4 linked regions of the Ovis aries genome follow. The protein of the gene in region 3 purifies or fractionates together with the protein of the main gene of each other region. This does not show direct contact. Links are inferred from orthologs where the notes say so. Each region holds a gene or a part of one and is shown on either strand. Other genes may lie near its edges.

Region 1 (5,821 bases), on a different chromosome or scaffold from region 3:
ACCTCTTAGTAAATTTTGCCATTCTTTTACCAAAGTTTTGGTATATACTTTATATACTGATGATAAATATAAACAGCACAGAACAATGCCCAGAACATAGAAAGCAATCCATAAAATGCAGTTATTATTCACATCACACTATACACCTACCAGGGAATGAACTGTCTTTGTCTTGTTTAACAGTCTAGCTCAAGAAACCTAGCCTGCTATCTGGTCCATGAGTGTGTGAAGTCATTTTAGGCATGTCCGACTCTTTGCAACCCTATGGACTGAGGCCCACCAGGCTCCTCTGTCCATGGGGAGTCTCCAGGCAAGAATACTGGAGTGGTTTACCATTTCTTCCTCCACAGGCTCTTCCCCACCCAGGGATCAAACTTGTGTCTCTTGCACTGGCAGGCGGGTGGGTTCCTTACCACTAGCACCACCTGGGACGCCCCTAAAGATGTGTGCGTGCTAAGCTGCTGGTCCATAGTTGGTGCTCAATAAATATTACTTAATAAGTGATTCAATATGGTTTAAGAATAATTCTGATCTCTTACCTGTTTTATGGTTACCACTGCCGCACCTCCTATAATCAAAGGCAAGAGTCTGGAAAACGCATACACCAGAGGAAGGGCATTTAAGTTCCTGTTTATATTTCCTTAAACTCACCACAAAGATCCTCCCCCGCCCCTTTCGTCCCTAAACCACAAAATCAATGCTTTGCAACACCGTACTCTTGAACAATTTTGCTTCATTTCCCCTCACTGACAGCGCACCAAGTTCCTTAAAGCTGCAAGCTTTAGTTTAGTTCCCTTTACCCCTTAAGAAGGAAAGGTATGTTTGTAAAACTCTAATACTCAAAGTTCTATTTTGATTTCTTGATCTTTCATTCACGATTAGTTATCATACTTGCGTTACTAGATACTTAGTACAAATGAAAACACTGAAAATTGGCTTATTATTTAATTTTTAAAGTTAACACATCAAAGTGTATCACACTTCAGAGCAATCAAATTAGGAAACTGACACATTATTTCAGTGATGTTGCATTCCTTGAAATACTTTCAGAGATTCTTTTTTGGAACAGACTTCAATCCAGTTCTACAAGTCCCACAGGAAATTCTGTGTCATTACTTTACGGTTACAACTCCTATTTGACCTCAAACAGTATCACCAGCCTGGCTGCCTGATCTTTTTCACCAGACTTGAGCCCAAATTCTCTAAATGATTTGGATTCAATCTAACTTCGTTATTTCCTAAAATCAAATCTGCTCTAAAAAAAAAATGAAGAGAGTGAAAAATAACACAGGCTCCAAAGTGGATTCTAAGAGAAGTTTAAAAAACATTTTTTTTTTCTGCCACACCTAAAAGCTGCTGACTGAAAGAACAACTTGAAATAACTACTCTGAATGAGATAACACATGTGAATGTAAATTCTGATATTTTCAATCCAAAATCAACTATACTTGTTTACGGTCAACTGTCACATAATATTGGTTATTTTTCTCCACCAATATGTTATAGGTTACACCTTAAACAACCTTAGCAGAACTGCCTCCACAGAAAGACACACAAGAAACTTAACAGGGGTGGTCTCTTGAGAAAAGAACTAGTCCAGCTGGACAAAGAGAATGGAAACTTTTCACTGTCTTTCTATGCCTTTTACATTTTATACAATGTGAATGTACTACCTACTTTTAAAAACCTGTTTAACAAAATTACTTCCAAGTGTCAGTTTTGATGGCTTCTATAAACCAGAAAAATAAAGCACTAAAAAATGTGGAGTTCATGTTTTATCAGCACTTCACTGGATCTCCAGTGCCAGGGCTGAGTTACTCACATCAACTGTAGGGAAACCTTGCAAGCAGTTCACTAACTCCCCACAGTTGAGCCGTATCACTCCACTAAAGTTTAAACAACAATGATAGGAAACAAAAATTCAGTACCACAAAAATTAATGTGTCAATTCCAGAATGAAAACTGGCCGTAAACAAGTGAGCTATTAAAGCAGCAATGATCCAAACACATCTTCGAAAATTAGCGAATCAACAGCACGCTATAAAAATGGAAAAAAGATGTCAAGCATAGGGCCATCAGCGACATCACTCAAGCAGCCTGAACTAGAAAACGCAATATGATCTGTTGCTGGACACAATTGCACAATCTCAATTACCCAGAAGATTCTACCAAACAGGAAATTCATGCTGGGGCTTTAAGAAACACAGGAATTATATTCAAAGATTACCAAGTCTAAAAGCCTGGAACCTGCCCCGAAACAAAAAACTAATTTTGTAGACCTCTTTGCAAATAATGCATGCACAGGAATTACATGAATTAGCTTCAGGTCAGCTCTCAAATTACACAAAATCTAAAATACAGTGTATAAAACCTTAGAAGTTAGAAAAGTTAGTGAACTGAGTCTGGAAATTTTACAGTAGCGTTTCATTTAAAAGACATTCATAGTGTGAATTAAAGCTGAAAAGTGTCTCTTCCTTCTTTTGCTATATATTCCATATCCCATGAAAACCATTATGTACCTCTCAGGCCTTAAGTGCAGATTAAGTTCTCTGCAAACCCTCTAAAGGACTTTAAAAACACAGTGTTTCACAAGAATTATCACGATTAAAAAATATTTATAATACATCGCAGCATTGTTAAAAACTTTTTGATCTTGAGGGCGTCCAACGGATCTGAACCTCACTTGCTCCAAAGGAGAAAATCGTTTTGTCAAACAATACTTAAATGAGCAGTGGTATGTGACTAATCAGCGAGGCCGCCAGCTTCTCAAGCTGCAGGCACTACCACCACCCCCCACTCTGCGAAAAGGAAATACGCTTTCAACTGAATCGGAAACACACCACTCAAGCTGGCACAGGGCTCACCGAGATAAAGTCGGTATTTTAAGCTCCCTGGATAGCTGCTAATTCAAGTGCGAATTCAAAAAGAACCCTTCTCAAAATGCAATTTCGACAGAGGTTTGCAAAAAAGCCCGAACTCAACGCCCTTCGTCCTCAGTTTTGTTCAGATGACCGCAGTCGAGCTTTGCCCTTCTGCTTCTCCGGGCAGCTTCCCGGGCTTGTCTGCTCCGAGGGCAGGCACATCTCGAGAGAGTCCTTCTGCTCGATGCCAGCAGGGAGAGACCTCCGAAGAGGGACCCCTGTTCCTGCCCCCGTAGCAGCACCGCCCCCCCACCCCCACCCCCACCCCCAAGGGAACGCGCAGGGTGCGAGTCAGGGCCCGGCTCCAACACCATCACCCACCGCCCACAGCGGACCTGCGTCCTACACACAGCTGACCATCTACGTGGGCGTGCAGGGTGGGGGTGCAAGGGGGACAGGGAGTGCAGGACAGGGGTCGAAGAGGGCTGGGATGCCCTCCCCCCAAGGAAAATTCCTGCCGCTGGGTGCATTGCTGAGCCGTGGGGGCAGGCCTGACTCCAGGGCATACGGAGACACCCGGCCCAGCGAGGCCCCCGGCCCGGTGACACTCACCACACAGAGCCATAGGCGCCGGAGCCCACCGGGGACAGGTTCTGGTAACGCTCGGGCACCTCCCAGATGGTCTTGTTCAGCTCCTGCCGGTAGAACGTGGGCCTCTCCTGAGACATCTTCCAGCGGTGGCCGCGGGGCGAGGAGGTGGCCCTTGCAGGGCCCCGCCTGCACCCGCACCCGCTTCCCCTGACCTCGTAGCCCGCCCGGCCGGGCGGGGACCCCTGCGCTGGCCGCCCGCGCAGGTGCGGCTGCGGCGACCCTGAAGAAGCCCGCGCGCGCGCGCGGCCCCTGTCAGCCGCAGCGGCTGGACGCGCCTCACCGACGGCGGGGGAAGCACTGCGAAGGGCCGGGGCACGCTCCGGGGCCCTGGGCTGGCGCCCCGCCCAGCTCTCCCTGCGCTCTCTCCACACCCGGCCGACTCCCGGCTGCGCGGCGGGGTCACAGCTCCAGCTGCAGCGCCCGCGGAGCTTCCAGTGGTCGCCTTTCCCAGAGCCAGCGAACAGGAGCCTCCCGCCGTGCTCTCGCGAGAACAGCTCCCGGACCTCTCCTCGAGCCGAGATTTTACCCAATATGGAACCTGCCCGCGGGAGGGGGGTTGATGAAGGGAGAGCTTGGGAGAAGTAATTCTCGCGAGAAGAGAGCAACAGCTGGCCCCTAGAGGCAGGAACTCCCAGGGATTGCTCTCCTTTAGCGCGCGAAGGCGGACCCGGGAAGGAGCGGAGAAGCAGACGATACAGGCCGCGCGCGCCCCATCGTGGTCGGCGGGGCAAGTGCTTGGCTCCCTGTTGGAAAGAGACAGTGACAAATCAATCGGGTGTCTGGGAAAAGAGCCAAAAGACCTTTAAACGGTGGGTAATCACCAGCAGCTGAGCACCTGCTCGGCGGAAAACCCCCAATTTCCAAGAAGTACTTGCATAAAAAAGAGAAAGATTCCGGCCAGAAAGCCGTTGTAGTCCCATCTGCTCAAGGACATACACTTACTCTTCGGAATGCTGACGAAATCTGTCTCAAAGGTAAATATTAGCCCTGAATTAAGGTTGAGGTTTTTCCACCCAGACACTTCTAGTAGTTCTCAAACTTTTACGTGCAGAAGAAGCACCTTGGGCGCTTAAAAATGAACAGCGAGTTTGATTAGATGGGTCCCAGAGGGACTCCAAGACTGTGCATTTTTACAAAATGCGCCAGGTTCAGAAAAGTTCTTGGTATCTCCCTTGGAGAAACATTTTAAAACCTTTACCCTGAAGGTTTGAAACTGATTCCTACCTTGAAGAGCTTCCAGCAAAGAGGGTTTTAAGAATTGTAATCATGCCTCTCAGAGTAAGAACAGTGCAGATAGTGGTTTTCTGGCAGTATCCTGTTGGGCAAGTCAATTGACCTTTCTTAGACCTTAGTTCCAGTTTATGCAAAAAAGAATTGCTGCCCTGAAATTTCCCACCTGAAAGCTGAACAAGATAATAAATGTGAATGGGCAAGGTATTATAACCCCATACCTTCATGTCACTATTAACTTATTCCTACCCTAAAACTTGTTTCAATAAGCAGAATTGGACCCTATCTTATTCTTGGTCATTTCTTTTAGAACTAACTGGGCTCAAGCCAGGACACTTCCCATCACTATCCATGACTATTCTCTTTTGTGTTATGCATCCCTTGAAGTGCTCAAATTTTGCCTATCTTGTCCCAGCATCTAGCTCAGGGCCTCGAACATAGAAGTTACTCCATAAGTATTTGCTGAGCAAATTATGAACAAGGACATGATCTCAACTAAGGTGGCATTGCAGGATCCTCAGCTGTCAAGGAAAAATAAAATAAAACCCAAAACAAGGGTCGTAGGTGATCTGCGGAAAGCTTTCTTTGGATTCAGTGTGACAGCCTAGATTCTCTTGCCTTAGAAGACATGTTGCTTAAAAATGTTCCAAGCCAAACTGCAGATAGTGAGCTTTCTAAGAAGTATTGGAGGTAGGAGGAAGCAAGAGCAAAAATGCAGCTGTAAAGATATGAGAGGTAAGAGTAGGGGATCAAGGTGAGTGCATGGATAAAAGGGGGAAAACTTGGAAGCTGGAATTCTAAGAAATTCATGTATTTATCCAACAAATTGGGATGATGACATGAGAGTGAGCAAAAGAATAAAGATGAGCAATACACTCACTCACTCAGCAAATATATATTGAATGCCTACTAGGTACCAGGCACTTCTAATGGGAAGTTGGTTGAAAGGCAGATAGCGGCTGCCTACGTGGAGCCTACAGTGAGTAGTGGCACAATCATTCACTTCTTCAACACAGATTTATTGAGCACTTACTAGATCTACCACATTGCTCTGGCACCAATAATACAGCAATTAAAGA
Region 2 (5,068 bases), on a different chromosome or scaffold from region 3:
CACATATTTATACCTAAGAAAGGTATAAATTTGCTGAATCTCAGTCATTTGGAAGATGGATAAGTCTACACATGATTTTATTGACTTTAACTTTTAAAATGAGATAATTAAAAATACTTCATAAAGTAGGACCTAGACATTTTTCCTAGCAAAAGACTCTGAAACAGCAGTTCACTCTGAATCAGGAAACTGTATCAAATCAGTTTTGAGGATTCTTTTTTTCTAAAAAAGATAACTTTGAAGTAAGGATTTTAGCTTAATATTCTTATCTGAGCCAGTTAAAAACACTTTAAACATTTATTATCAGTATTATTCTTTTGTTCTTAAATAAACACGCTGTTCTGTTGTCTTACTCTTGACCTAAAATTGTCTTATACCCTGTAAAATCCAGTGAGTTAGATTTAGTATTATACTTTTTTTTTTTTTTGGAGAATTGCTATTTTAAGTGACAGCATGATCATTGTTTTTTAAAGTATTTGCTGTAAAACCACTGATTGTCATAAATAATGTGCAGTGTGTCACTTTGTCTTGGAATTGTGATCTTAGGCGCTCCCTAGTAGAAATTAGCACCAAGAAAAACTATCATGCAAAGAGTTGACATACTTTCCTTTCTTAGATAAGAATTCTATAGACTCACTTTATTGTGTTCCTTCAGTCTCCAGGAAACTGAGTCAAATATAGTGCTTAATGTTGGTAACTACATCGGCCAGCAAGGTTAAGCATAAGAACTTCCACCTTTTAGTGACGCCTCTCACCCATCCTACACCTGTTTTAATGACTTGTTTTATATATATGTCTTTTATTGCAAGCTACCCTCAAAGCTTTTTGGAAAGTGAGATAATGGGATATATTTAAACTGCCAAATAGCCTGAGCAGTTAGACCTGTAGAGCTCTTTTTATGTTTGAATCAGGCTTTTCATATTCTGAGGACAGTCTTCATTTGCCCAGACAGTGCTTGCAATAGCCTCTCATGCTTGTAGCTTTAGAAATGTTTTAAAATATGTTTTTCTCAAGATTATGTACATAAATTATGTCCTAGATATCTAACTAAAGCTTGCTATTCTCTATAAAATCCACAAGGAAAAAATTGTTGTAATAGATTTTTGCCAGAAATGAAAACCCTGGAAAAAAATTTTGTCTGAACTGATAGGTAAACATTAACTTTCCCTCTAAAATTTTATCCTTGGAAGTTGAATTATGCCATAGATACAAAAAGATTTGTATGTATTCTAATGTGAAATTTTAGAGAAACTTTAGTTCCACAGGATTTCCAAAATTTACTCCTAAATATAGCTCCTAAAATTCTGTAATGAGCTAATAGTCTCCTTATGAGTGTACTAGAAAGTATGGATTTTAAGTTCCCAAGTTGTCCTGCATGGTTAAAGGTGCATCTCTAACATCTATTCTTGCCCTTTTATTCTTTTGCTATTAAAAGAGTTGAAGTCTTCAGACTGCAAAAACAAATGCAAGTTTCTAAAACTTCCCTTCAAATTGCTTATTCTTCCCCTTCTTGTATTAAACTGTAAGCACCTTCTCTTTTTATCTGTTTTCAAACCCAAAGATATAAAGTGTCAGGGTATGTGGTTAGTTTTAATGAAATGGGTGGAGATCCTCAAATTGCTCATTTCTGTGTCTGGCGCATTCTTTTCAACATTGGTTGGAACTCTCATTTAAAATTAACAAGCGTCACAGGATTTCCCTGGTGGTCCAGTGGTTAAGACTCCTACTTCTACCACAGGGGACGCGGGTCAACACTTGGTCATCCCGTGTAGCCAAAATAAATAAAGTCGGCAAGGGTCAGTAAGTCTAGTAGGAGACTCTGTAGATGATAAATTTGCGGGAGCTTTCATACTGTGTTCAGCCGAAACCAACTTCTTAAACCAAAAGTGGTTTAGTTCTACAAGTTTAAAACACTTTAGGTGGAAAACATGAAATGTACTTTTTTTGCTGTGTTTTCTTGATTATTTGTTCATTCTCTATGAACTTGGGATAGTAGAGTAAATGCAACATGGTGTTGCCAAGAAGACAAATGATTTTCTATTCAGAGTAAACGTAGCACTTCTCAAAACAGATTGATGAACTCCAACTTGAAAATTTCCGAAGACCGTTAGGTTAATGTTTTAACTGTAATTATTCATAGAAGCGTTATTTCTGTTAAATATTTTAATATGCTGGACTGTTTCTGCTCATGCTTTTTTCTTTTATTTTACTTAAAGAGAGAGGATAATGCACAGTTGAACCTCCAAATAGTATCAAGGTTTTATTTTTTAAATTTTGGTACCTCATGTGCATTTTCAGCCTTATTTGTAAATCTGTGTTGGTTCATTTTCATATTTTGTAAGTAAACTTTCAGGGGCAGACTATGGGTTTTAAAATCATATGATTTCTGTGCATAGCTCTCCCTTTAAATTAGATATGTAGCTAAAAGGCTACACTTCACGTTTGCTTTTGTGAATCAAAGCCTTTTGAAAAATATTTTATGTTTTAAATTATTCCATTAGCTAAAATTAAAGTCACTTTTTTCTTTCTGTGATGTTTTGCAGTTTTTATATAAAGCAGTCATGTTATGCTTCTTTGATTTTAACGACCTTTTGCTTTGCTTTTCCTTCTTTTGTGCTGCAAACATATAGTGGATTTATGGTCTGTGGGGTGCATTATGGGAGAAATGGTTTGCCACAAAATCCTCTTTCCAGGAAGGGACTGTATCCTTGCGCTGCTGCAGCAGTTTGATCAGTTAGGTGACGGGCTTCCTTATGTTCCCTAATGAAAATGAGTATGTACATCCACACATGTGGGTTTCTTTTAAACAGACGTAAAGTTTGTGGCTGTTACAGTTCAGATTCTGAGATGTTTGTAGGCTGCATTCGGCAGTAGGACATACAGTCTCTGCTGGCAGGTAGAGCACACTCACTGTCACTCATTTTTATTTTGTACTGCTTTCTTTAATTTTGAAGTATACATGGTGTGTGTGATTTTTTTTAATGTTTATATTTTTTTTATTTTAACCAAAATCTTTATGTTAATGTCATTGCATTTTGTTTTCAGTTGACATTTGGTCAGTTGGGTGCATCATGGGAGAAATGATCAAAGGTGGTGTTTTGTTCCCAGGTACAGATCGTATCCTTATCTTTGGCCTAAAATGTAGTTTCTAAAGGTCAAAATGTAAGACAACACTTCAGCTTGATCAGGTATAATGTATTTTGTCTCTCCCTAGTAAAGTATTGTTAAATTACTCTTTAAAATACCACCTGCTATTTGACATAGACTTTCCTTTCCCTCACCGATTGTCTCATTTGTTAATTCTGAAAACTACTCAAGTTAATTATCCACAGTTACTTGTTGGCTTTGAGTTAATTTATTTAACCTGAATCAAAAATCATGGCTTGCATTAAATTTTTCTAATAATTATACACTTGAGTAAGTCTAGAAGTACTTAGGACATGATATGAATTTTGAATTGTTGTTCCTGGTCACCCTTTTGTTTTGTCCTCCCCACCTTCTGTTTTGTTAATGTTCTGTGTGTTCTGTGTCTTTTGGTTGTTGTCTCATTTCTCTACATAACATACTGATCTTTTCATCTGAGAGTTTCAGCAGTAACAGTTGTATATGGTGATGAGTAGATTTGGGTTCATGATTTTTGTTCATCTGACTACTGATATTTGTAGTAACATTGATCTGTTATTGTGTTTATCAGCTAGTGACACTTAGAATTGTTTTAAGAAGACAAATGGGAGAAACCGTATTCATTGGGTTATAGTAAGAAAGTTTTAGGTCTTAATCCATGGGGAGCACTTGAAGTATAAAGACTAAAGACTGGGAGGAAAGAAACCAGGGAATTCTAGCCTTATACCTTAACCAAAATAGTGAGTCATTTTCTCAGACTTCAGAGCTTTAAAATATTTTAGTTAACATAAGCTAAACAGAGAATTGCAAAAAGGAATGCCATCATTTTTATTGCTGCTGCTTATTTTCTGTTAATTTAGAAAACTCAGAAAAGGACAGATGATAAATATTTCTTATCTTCTCAGAAATGCAGTCACCTTTTCTGATAAGCTAGAAGAAAAGGCAAATTCTGTGTTCAGAATTGTGTCCAGTTTATATGTAGAATCTATATGGGCAGGAATTACCATTTTCCTTTGAGCCACTCATCATTTGTATTTGGAATTTGTGAGTTTAAGCTTCCATTTTTATGAGAAAATCAGTATTAGTAGACACACACATACACCTAGTAAATAAGGTTAACAAAGCTTGTCATTGATTCTTTCTGTCCACCTACAGTCATTGCCTTTTGCAAGGTGGCTATAAGATTTATAACTGCCACATTCTTTCTTAGAATTTTAAATTGCTATTTTCTTGTTATTTTAATATGGATATGACTAATATGTTGAACATTAGATGCACAGTATTTTTCTTAGCTACTTGATACTAGATATTGATCAGTGGAATAAAGTTATTGAACAGCTTGGAACACCATGTCCTGAATTCATGAAGAAACTACAACCAACAGTAAGGACTTATGTTGAAAACAGACCTAAGTATGCTGGATATAGCTTTGAGAAGCTCTTCCCTGATGTACTTTTCCCAGCTGACTCGGAACACAACAAACTTAAAGGTACTTTTAAAAATAATATCTTTAATTCCATTGTGGGTAGGTGGCTGTTTGAAGAGGAGGTTTATGGGGGTGTATTTATATTGTTACGGGATGTAACTCAACAGTATTTCTGAGTAATGGAACAGTGTGAGGTTTTAGTTATTTTTAGTTATATTTTTAATCATATGTATGACCTAATTTTATAGTAAATCTATTCTTTTTAAAGCATTTTTTAGTACATGGTAATTTCAGATTTCTGAAATTTATTGATAATTTTAAAACCTTATAAGATACGTTACATAAACATCTTATTATTTTTGCAGCCAGTCAGGCAAGGGATTTGTTATCCAAAATGCTGGTAATTGATGCATCTAAAAGGATTTCTGTAGATGAAGCTCTCCAGCACCCGTACATCAATGTCTGGTATGATCCTTCTGAAGCGGAAGCTGTAAGTTCTTTTCTGAATGTTTGAAGAAT
Region 3 (5,068 bases):
GGAAACCAGGAGCCTCCCGCTCAGAGAGGAAAAAATGTCTGCCCTGTTCCTGGAAGCCTTATGATGTGGCAAACGATCATTTTCTTTCCCCTCTGAAGCGGTAGTGTCAAGGAATTGACTAACCGTCACATGTTGGAAAACTGCTTTGAATGGTAGGGATAGAGAGCAATGGCACCCACACTGTCACTTAGTCATACAGGTGTAAAGGGCCAGCTGCCTCCGTGACCATCCTTTGAGCGGTTGTTCCACAACCTGCAGACCCTACTGAGTTAATTTATAATCTCTTTTTGGTCCAATAGAAACTGCAAAATAAAAATACAAGCAGGTGGACTTCTCTCTTGGTCCAGGGGTTGAGACGTCACCTTCCAGTGCAGGCGGCGCAGGTGTGATTCCCCGATTGGGGAGCTGAGATCCCACGTGCCTCAGGGCCGAGAAACCAAAACACAGAACAGAGGCAGTGCACGTATGCTCAGTTGTGTTCAACTCTTTGTGACGCCGTGGACTGTAGCTGGCCAGGCTCCTCTATCCGTGGGACTCTCCAGGCAAGAATACTGGAGTGAGTTGCCATGCTCTCCTGCAGGGGATCTTCCTGACCCAGGGATTGAACCTGTGTGTGTCTCCTGCACTGCAGACAGGTTCTTTACCACTGTGCCACCTGGGAAGCCCCCCAAACACATCCAATCAAGACTCCAGAAATGGTCCACATCAGAACAAAACCCTGCAACAACAACAAAAAATTAAAAAACAAAACAAAAAAACAAGCAGGGCCAAACCTTGACAATAATAGATGGTAGGTTTCCCAAAAAGCAAAGTCCCAGAGTGCACAAGAAAATCAGAAACACAGGCCGACTGTCTCTTCTTGGTGTGTTTCCCTGCCCGCCTCCACCTGCGTCTCTGCCCACCCCTGCGCAGCCGCCCTTGCCTGAGTGCCACTAACGCTACTCCACAGAAGTTGGCTATTGGTCTCCTTTTACTTAAACGACCTCCCTTCCCCGGAAGATGATTCCGTAGAGAACCATTCCAGGGCTTAGCAACTCTCAGGTCAGGAAATCCTCCCGTGCCCCAAACCTGGATGAGGCAAGAGGGATTTGTTTAGATCTAAGCCCGTTTCCTCTTGTTTTGGCCCCTTGTTGATGGAACAGCTGTTCATGAGGCTGTGTGGTTGGCATCTGTTCTGTTGCTGAGGTCCAGAAGGGCTGGTGCCAGGATAATAGTTTTTTTATTCTCTCCCACACTGGAGAACCTCTCTAAAAGAAGAGCTGGAGGTGGGGGATGACAGACATCTTTGTGGGTCCCAGGACTCAATTGTGGCCTCATGGAAACCCCTAGTGGCTCTTCCCTTTTTCTTTGTCATCACTGTAAAGAAAGCATTCCTTCTTCATCTCCCCCTGCACATCCTCCTTTGTGTATCTGCATTCTAAACCGAAGTCTTGTGCCTAAAGCTTTTCTTCCAGCTTCAGGATGCGTTCATCCCCAAGGCAGTCTCCCCATCTCTGGAAGAAGGGCTCCTTAGCCATTATCTCTGGGCCCACAGCGCCACCCAGTGGCCAGTATAGGTGCAACCAGCCCTAGCTTCCCAACAGCTCTCCTCTGTGAAGCGTAGGGTTCAAGTTCTCCCCTGGTTTGGTTTCCTGCTTGTTCAATGACCCCATTAACCTGAGCATCTTTCTCCTTTACAGGTGGCTATGAAAGGTTCTCCTCTGAGTACCCAGAATTCTGTTCCAAGACCAAGGCTCTGGCAGCCATCCCACCTGCTGTGCCCCCAAGCACGGCAGAGTCTTTGGATCTGAGCTGCAGCTCCTGTGGAACCCCACTGCACGACCAGGTGCGGGCTGAGATCAGACTTCTGCTTGTCAGAGGCTCAGGACTCAGGGCCTCAATGCTGGGTGAATTGATGAACCCTGAGTGTTGGGATGCGACCTTAGGTGGAATCCATCATTCCTTTGAAATTCTTCCCCTTCCTTCTCTCATTACCCTTACTTAAAAAAAGAATGTAAAGACATAAGTCCCTGACTTCGCTCCCAGAGTTATGTGCAGAGAAGCAAGGAGCCCAGAAGTGTGTGGGCTGTTCTGTGGGAAGCTGAGACCCCAGCCCTGGCTTACAACAGGCAGAGCTGTCCGCCCCCCATACAAGCTAATCATAAATGCTAAGTGAACATCAGTGGACAACCAACCCTTCTAAGAAAACCAGCTCATGCCACTATGATTCTTACAAGCACGCCCCTTCCAGCCCTCTCCTTTAGACAGAGATGGAGTAAAATGATGGGGTCCCGCAACTCTGCTCCACAAACCCCACATCACTTGTGTTGATCTGCCTCAGAATCGTGTCATTAGCAAAGCCAACATAACCTCCTTTTGCCAGGATCCCCCCTCTTATCTTTGAGGTTGCTGTGGCGTCTGTTTTTGATCTGCAGCAAGTAGCTTAGTGGTAGCAGGTGTAAGCTCCTCACATCACAAACGATGAACAAGGCCCGCATTGCGTCTTCTGCCTCACTGGTCACCGGGGGCGGAGGGGAGGTGGGCTGCTTGAACCAGAGAGGGGAGCCCAGCATCAAGGCAGAGTAGAGCATCAAGGCCAGAGAGGTCCCACTGAGCGCATCACTCCCTCCTGGAGCCCCAGCAGGACATGGGGAGACCTGGAGGGGCTGTGTCCACAGGCCATCTTCCCACAGCCCTTGACAGCAGCACCCCCACCCCAGACTGGCTCCCTCTCCCCGTCCTACCGCCCCAGCCCTCTGCCCTGCTGTTTTATACTTATGATGTTTGGGGGGGCCCCTTTGTTCTCCCCTTCTGCAGGGGGGTCCGGTGGAGATCCTGCCCTTCCTCTACCTCGGCAGTGCCTATCATGCGGCCCGCAGGGACATGCTGGATGCCCTGGGCATCACAGCCTTGCTGAACGTCTCCTCTGACTGCCCGAACCACTTCGAAGGACACTATCAGTACAAGTGTATCCCAGTGGAAGACAATCACAAGGCTGACATCAGCTCCTGGTTCATGGAGGCCATTGAGTACATCGGTAGGCTGGCCCTGGCCGGGGTGCTGGGTTCAGGGATGGGGCGCTGGGTGCAAGGCTGGCAGAGACAGGAAGCGAGGGAAGAAGGAACCACTTGGAGCTAGAGTGTTGAAGGAGGAACTTAGAAAGGGCCCTGCCCAGAGGATGCCTGTTTTCCCTCTTTCTCAGTAGGAAGGCTGGCCCTTGGGGTATTGAATTGCCCAGGGGTAGGAAGATGGACTTATATAAACCACAGGCACTGGTAGCTGATAGAGCCAAGAACTTTTGCCTTGGGTGTCCCACCTGCCAAGCAGATAAGACTTAGGGGTGGAGAGGAAGACACAGAGAGAACTGGGTCATTGTTTTTGCTCCTGCAAATGAAAACCCCTCCGTGTGTGCTGGCACCGGGCTTTAGCATGTGTGTTTCCTAAGCCCGGCACATTTGTCTGGTTAAGTCTCCAAAATAGCCCAGAACCGATGGCACTCCCTGGCCCGGTGGGTTTCCTCTCTCCTGGCCTCAGCCTTGGAAGGCTGTCCCTTCCGTGGTTCAGAGGGAGGGCCCCGACCAATGCTTCTCAGATCCTCCCCACAGCGCCCTCATCCCGCCCAGGGAAGGACAGGGACTTGGGGACACTAACGGGCGCGTGGCTCTCTGCCCCAGATGCGGTCAAGGACTGCCGCGGGCGCGTGCTGGTGCACTGCCAAGCTGGCATCTCCCGCTCGGCCACCATCTGCCTGGCCTACCTGATGATGAAGAAGCGTGTGCGGCTGGAGGAGGCCTTCGAGTTTGTCAAGCAGCGGCGGAGCATCATCTCGCCCAACTTCAGCTTCATGGGCCAGCTGCTGCAGTTCGAGTCGCAGGTGCTGGCCACGTCCTGCGCGGTGGAGGCCGCCAGCCCGTCGGGGCCCCTGCGCGAGCGGGGCAAGGCCACCCCCACGCCCACGTCACAGTTTGTCTTCAGCTTCCCGGTCTCCGTGGGGGTGCACCCGGCCCCCAGCAGCCTGCCCTACCTGCACAGCCCCATCACCACCTCCCCCAGCTGTTAGAACCCTCAGAACGCCCCCCCACCCCCACACCAGCCCGTGTCAGGTGGGGCCCGGTGGCCGGGTAGCAGGTCCGGACTGACCCGCAGGGGGCCTGGTGACCAAGCTCCTTCCATCCATCTCTCTTTGGCTGGGGCCAGCTAGAATGGCAATAAGGACCTCAAATACATATTTAAACGCAGACAAACAAAACACTCCAACTTAGAGCAATAACAGCTTCCTCGGCAGGCAGGGAAGACCTGGGTCTTGGTTTGTGTCAGTTTTACTTTTCAGATAGGAATTTCTTACCTCATTTTTTTTTTTTTTTAAAGCAGTAAGGCTTGAAGTTAGGAAACCCACAGATCCTGGCAAATGTGCCCCTTTATTAAGGGGGGTGGTGGTGGTGGAGGGGAGGCAAAGGGCCAAAAACAAGTTGACCAGAAGTGCCTGCTTCTGTGTGCTTGGTCCTTTTCTTGTTGTAGTTACAGGAATTATTATTTTTTTTTTTGAAGAAATCTTTTAGGACATGGTTTTCCTTTTTAAGTCACCATCAACAGGTGAATACTTAAGCTTAATAATAAATAAAAGTATTTATTGAGAATTTCCTCAGAGTGTGTGAGGACACAGTCTGGGGACCGTGACTTTAGAATATATTGATGCTGGTGTGGACCTGCGGAGCACAGGCAGCATGCAGACGTCAGTACAGTGAGGTGGTGTGTTCGAGATGGCGTGACGATCAGCTTGCATTTGCTACTGCTGGGAAGGGGGCAGGGTGGGAGGAGGAGAAAGGGAAGCGAGGACGTTGTTAGCATTGACCCTGGGTATCCGTGGGAGATTGGTTCCAGCACCCCCTCCTTCCATCTCGGATACCAGAACCTGTGGGTGCGTACATCCGCAGATAGCGCATTCTTGAATATGGACTGGAGACTATTTTTGAAGTTGGTTCTTGGGCATATGGACCACCGAAGCAATTTGAAACCGCAACCATACAACCGTTTCGGATGATCAGTAACTCAGTTTGGCGGTGGAAGCTTTTTTCTCTTAGACCTGCCC
Region 4 (5,068 bases), on a different chromosome or scaffold from region 3:
GGTGGCCTCGTGCCGTCCCTCCCAGCATGCCAGCCCTGCAGTGGGTGAGTGGCCGTGCCGGGCGCAGGGGGCTGCAGACAGAAGGGGCAGCAAACGAAGGAGTGAGGCCTGCCCTGCCTGGAGGACCTTCCGGAACTGCCAGTGGCCTTGTCTTCAGATGGGTAGCTTATCTGCCGTCTCGGGTGTTTACAGCTGTGTAGCAGACAGCCTATGAGACGTGGTGGGGACAGCTTCCTGCATCAGACACGGCTGGGGTGGACTCTGTTGCCTCTTAAAGTCCTTCTCAGTCAACCTCACGCCCTCCCACCAGGGCACTGTCCGTGGGTCTGGGCATGTGAGCCAGGGTGGCCTGGACTGAGGGTGCTCTCAGGAGCAGCAGACCTGGCCAGCTCTCAGTGGTTTTCTTGGAAATTACAGTGGTTGTTCTGACGTCTCCTACTGCTTTCTTTGTTTTCTTTCTCTTTCTTACCACCACAGTCCTGTTAGGGCAGATTGCTTTTGTTTGGTTTTGGAGGGCTATTCTTAACATTTTGAGTATGTAATGTTTCTGGGAGCAGTTGACTTTTGCTTGAAAATGCCCATCCTTGAGAAGAGGAAGCACAGAAGCATACTGCTCTGCTGTCTTGTCCCTGCTGGTGGGCTTGTCTCTGCCTCAGGCAATTTCACTCCCTGCTCACCAGGATGTGCTCCCATGCTGATCTGTGTTATCGGCCATCTGCACCGTCCAGGCTTTGTTTTCGAAGCCCAGTTTAACACAGACTCAGAAACACAGTAGGATGTTTCAGATGCTTAGAGCAGTGCAGTCGACCCCCGTTGGAAAATGTCCGTATGGGGTATGCACCATCCCCGTGGGCACGTGCACTCAGAGTCTCACTCCGGTTAGCAGTGTGGCGTGCGTGTCACCCAGTCACGGGCTTGCCGTGGGAGCGTGTCCCACAGGCAAGGCAGGGACCCGGGGAGTGGGGCGGGCTCCGAGCTCATCGGACGCCTGTCCCCTCCTCAGACCTTGGGATGGCCCTGATGCCGTCCCACAGCCCCAGGCCTAGAAAGTTTGTAACCGGTGGCCTTACTGATGTCTTGTTATTTAGGTGTTTTTTTTTTTTTTTTGAATTTTCAAGCAGGTAATTAGGTCACTTCTCCCTGTTTCCATTGACTTCTGTGTTAGTATTTTTCACTCTTGAGCCACCAGGGTGTCAGCTCTGTCAAGTGTCTTAGACCTTTAGCTTTGACTCTGTACAGTCAAGGCCAACAGCAGTCAGCTTCTGGTTTTGGCTTCCATAACATGCTTCGTGCTTGGTACCCAGCCTTGAGACCCAGTACACACTGGCCTCTCCTGGCCTTCCCGGGCCCTCTTCCTGCGGGCACCCTGTCTATTTCTCAGGGCCGCAGAAGAGCGAGGGTTGTGGACCCTATCTGGAGACTGTGCTGGCAGTGTGTTCTTAGTGAAACTTCAGGGGTATGTCATCTCCAGCAGTGTTTGTCCCGGGTGTTTGCTTGCTGAGCCTCCATCCAGCAGCCCCAGGGGAGCCCCGGCTGCTGGGGTCGCAGCGTGTATGCTTCTGGGTGGGCCTAGAAAGGAGGGTCAAAAGGTACGAAATGAAAGATCTTTGGGGCTTTTGTTCTAGGAGAATCTGAATTTACTCAGCCCAAAGGTCGCCAGGTAGGAGGGGTAGGACATTTGACCAGGTCGCTTTCTATTTCCGTACCGTATCCTGGGTGTCTACCTTCCTCTGCATAGAACTGTAGTCACTGTTTTGGGTAGCCTTGGCAGTTTTTTGGTCAGCGCTGTATTAGCTTTCAGTGTTGCAGTGAGCGTCGCATGAGTTCTGTGGATGACCGTGAACAGAGTTTCCCTACGCGTACCTCTTGATTCGTTAAATTATAGCCAGTAATTTTTATCAACTACGAGCGCAGGATACCAATAGAAAAACATGGTCCTCCTTAAGCCAGCTCCCTCTTCTGGAAACTGGTAACTCACAGGGGAGGAGGAAACGCTTCCCTTGTCTTCCCAGTAGGGTCTGGACTTCAAGGTAGGCACAAAGCCCCGGTTGATGAATAACGGTAAAAGTAAATGCCAGCTGATAAAGGCACAAGGGATGATGAAGTTAGAGAAGTCAGCGCTTCGCAGCTCCCAGCAACGTAGCTGGTTGGTGCCGTGCGTTCCTGGGCCCGCTACTCAAGACTCCTGCTCCCTTGGGGGCTCTTGCCGCCTCCCCACGTGGATGCCTGTTTACCTCCCCCCTCCACCCAGGCTGGAGCCTCTCTCAAGCCCCCCAAGATGTCATGGCCTGAAACAGCAGTTGTCTGTTTGAATGCTTAGTTTCTGAGGTCAGAAGTTTGGTCAGGCAGCGGGGGGGTCGGGGGGGGGGGGACTGCTCTGGGCTCAGCCTCTGGACCGCAGCTGAGAGACGCCCTGGAGGCTCAGACCGTCGCCCACAGGCCTGGTGGTTAGTGCCACGGCATGGCCACACGCCGCCCATGTGACCTGGTGTCCCCACGACACGGCCAGAGGCTCCCAGTTCCCCAGGTGGAAGCCACGTTGCTTTTTGTGATCTCACCTCGGAAGTCACGTGGCACCACTTCCAGTATGTTCTCTTGGTTCAGGCAGTTAGAAAGGCTTGCCCAGCTTCCAGAGGAGGGAAGATAAATCCTGCCCTCTTGATGCAAGCTCGGCCCCAGAGCTGTGGCCAGCATGGGGGTCAGGGTTACGTTGGCGTGGCTTTCTTCTGCGGAGCCCTCTGCCGCGGCTGTCTTTAGCTTGCTCTCACCACGTGGGCCGTCTCTGTAGAGGCGGGAGGTCCTGTCCGCCTCCCGAGTGCGGCTCCTGCTTCTGTTCTGCTCCTGGAGGAGGTGGAGATGTCAGCCCCAGGACTGAGCCCGCTGATCTGGGGGCCTGTATGCAGGCTTTTCACCGGGGGTTCCGCTGACCACAGAGAGCTGTGACTCATGTCTGGACCCGGCCACGCCGTGTGAGCCGAGGGTGCCCAAGGGGTGGTGTGTGGCGCGGGCGCGTTGCAGACACGCAGACAGTCCGTCAGCCTGCAGCTGTCCCGGGTGTGGTGGCCTCAGCAAGCCGTCTGGCTGTGGAGGCGAGGCTGGTGCTGGAGGCCAAGGGGCCTCAAGATACCGCAGCGACTGTGCAGCCCTGTCCAGAGTGCCCAGAGCACGGCCCTGGAAGAGCCGCGGAGCGGGCGTGGCGTTGGCTCCTCCTGAAGACGCGCTGACGGGCTCAGAGGACGGAACTGGGCAGCGTGGACGCAGAACTTCAGAGGGCTGCATCGAGGAAGCGGCAGGGCCGGGGGTCAGAGGTGCCGCGGCGGGTGCCAGCCTCCACAGCCGCGAGCCCTGAGGAGGGGGGCGGAGCCTTCAGAGTCATTTTAAGTTGTCTCGACCTCCAGCTGTGGGGTCTCTGCAGAGGCTGGTGTCCGTTAAGTCTTCTGAATATCCCTGCCTCCGTATCTCTGTTTTTATGGACTGAGCTCACCCTTGTCACTTTTCAACCGAATTAAAGCAGTCAGCCTCCAAAGTGATCTCTGTCTTCCAGGCTGCCTTCTGCTGGATTCGTCTGTGTTAGCATCTCTCTCCCTCTTTCTTTCTCTCTGTCTCTCGGATTAGTTCCCCAGGAGCTAGGAATTAAAAGGTCCTGCAGTTGTTGGGGACCAAATAGGTTCCGGTTACTCTCCTTGCACGTTGTAATCTGGAGCAGCCCCGACCGTTGCGTGGTCAAGGCCAGCTTGCGTGAGTCAGGAGAAATTAGAAGCTGGATTTTTTTTGGTAAGGATCCGTCTTCAGTATGTGGAGCGTCTTGTACGGCTTTGGGAGTGGGTTTGACTACAGGAGGGGAAGGAGGTGGGCAGAATAGGCGGGGGAGGTCACGTGTGGAGAGAGGCCCTGCCAGAGAAGCTGGTCCCAGTGGTGACCGTTCCAGCGCTCACTGGGCGCTGGTTTGAGTGACCTTATTCTCCGTGCAGAACTGTTTATCAAGTGGCCTAAGCAGGTTTGCTGTGGGTAAGCAGATAAGTAGAGGCTGCATACCGCTGAAATTGTGTTCTGGGCAAGACCCTCCAACCTGTTCCTTCCTGACACGAGGTGGCTGCCTTCCCGTTGTCGTGAGGAGCAGGTAAGGGTGGGTGTGTGCCGTTGCCTTGCGGCTCTGCCGCCCGAGGATGGTGGCACTTGCTGCCGCCGTCACTGCTGGTGTCCCGCCAGTGTCTGCGGCTCTGCTGCTGGCGACCCTGACTCTCTCAGAAGCTGTCCTGTCTGCTTTCCCCTAGATCTGTGACTTTGGCCTGGCCCGTGTTGCAGATCCGGACCACGACCACACAGGGTTCCTGACCGAGTACGTGGCCACGCGCTGGTACCGGGCTCCAGAGATCATGCTGAACTCCAAGGTAAGGGCCAGGTTTGCATCAGAAGAAATCCGGGAGACCAGAGGACTTAGGGCGTGAGTGGCAGTCAGCGTGGGCTGAGGCTGGGCCTGTCTGGCCAGCCCCAAGGTACCGTCTCGTCTCCCTTCAGCACTGACGTCCCGGCCCTCGGCTGGGCTCGTGCTGGCTTACAGAGCTGCGGGGCGTGCTCCCGCCATCAGCTGCCTGCGTCCCGCCCCCCAGGCAGCCCTCCTCGACCCGGGTGGCTTCCTCCTGTCCGCTGGGCTCTGTGCTCGCACTGTCGTCTGTGAGCGCGGACCAGGGCTCTCCTGTAAGAGTCAGACCTACCTGGTAATGAAGAAGCCTCTTCAGCAAATTGCAATAAAATTGGAAGAAAACATTGGTGAGGGGAAAACGGGAGCTGCTGTGACTCTCTCAGAGTGGCGTGGCCTGCATGACACCCCATGGCGTGGCGGTCCCGCCCCCAGGGGGAAAGCGCACTGCCAGCAGGGCCTTCACTCGCAGGAGGCCACCAGAGAGCCTGTGGGGCGGGCAGAGCCGCGAGGGGCCGGGCGCGTGGCGGCGGCAGCGGGGGCGGCCTCGGGGCCTCGCAAGTCTCAGCACGGCCCGCGCAGGCGGTGTCTGGCCTGCGGCCGGCGCGCCTGAAACCTCTCTCTCATCCTGAGTCTTGCGTCGCAAGG

The links.
Region 1: the proteins of DUSP4 (region 3) and MAPK14 purify together in Homo sapiens (affinity purification with mass spectrometry; 3 studies listed by BioGRID and IntAct, with this or other methods). This does not show direct contact. The link is inferred for Ovis aries from reciprocal best matches to the Homo sapiens genes DUSP4 and MAPK14.
Region 2: the proteins of DUSP4 (region 3) and MAPK8 purify together in Homo sapiens (affinity purification with western blotting; 3 studies listed by BioGRID and IntAct, with this or other methods). This does not show direct contact. The link is inferred for Ovis aries from reciprocal best matches to the Homo sapiens genes DUSP4 and MAPK8.
Region 4: the proteins of DUSP4 (region 3) and MAPK1 purify together in Homo sapiens (affinity purification with mass spectrometry; 6 studies listed by BioGRID and IntAct, with this or other methods). This does not show direct contact. The link is inferred for Ovis aries from reciprocal best matches to the Homo sapiens genes DUSP4 and MAPK1.

What each region holds. Positions count from the first base shown.
Region 1 is NC_056073.1:10,092,585-10,098,405, reverse strand, and holds the start of MAPK14 (mitogen-activated protein kinase 14), read right to left. Parts: upstream 3,592-5,821; 5' UTR 3,590-3,591; coding exon 3,474-3,589; intron 1-3,473. UniProt on the Homo sapiens protein: Serine/threonine kinase which acts as an essential component of the MAP kinase signal transduction pathway.
Region 2 is NC_056078.1:41,777,941-41,783,008, forward strand, and holds part of MAPK8 (mitogen-activated protein kinase 8), read left to right. Parts: intron 1-2,630; coding exon 2,631-2,702; intron 2,703-3,045; coding exon of another isoform or gene 3,046-3,117; intron 3,118-4,429; coding exon 4,430-4,612; intron 4,613-4,914; coding exon 4,915-5,039; intron 5,040-5,068. UniProt on the Homo sapiens protein: Serine/threonine-protein kinase involved in various processes such as cell proliferation, differentiation, migration, transformation and programmed cell death.
Region 3 is NC_056079.1:24,824,996-24,830,063, reverse strand, and holds part of DUSP4 (dual specificity protein phosphatase 4), read left to right. Parts: intron 1-1,679; coding exon 1,680-1,825; intron 1,826-2,796; coding exon 2,797-3,016; intron 3,017-3,653; coding exon 3,654-4,039; 3' UTR 4,040-5,068. UniProt on the Homo sapiens protein: Regulates mitogenic signal transduction by dephosphorylating both Thr and Tyr residues on MAP kinases ERK1 and ERK2.
Region 4 is NC_056070.1:72,076,210-72,081,277, forward strand, and holds part of MAPK1 (mitogen-activated protein kinase 1), read left to right. Parts: intron 1-4,274; coding exon 4,275-4,391; intron 4,392-5,068. UniProt on the Homo sapiens protein: Serine/threonine kinase which acts as an essential component of the MAP kinase signal transduction pathway. MAPK1/ERK2 and MAPK3/ERK1 are the 2 MAPKs which play an important role in the MAPK/ERK cascade.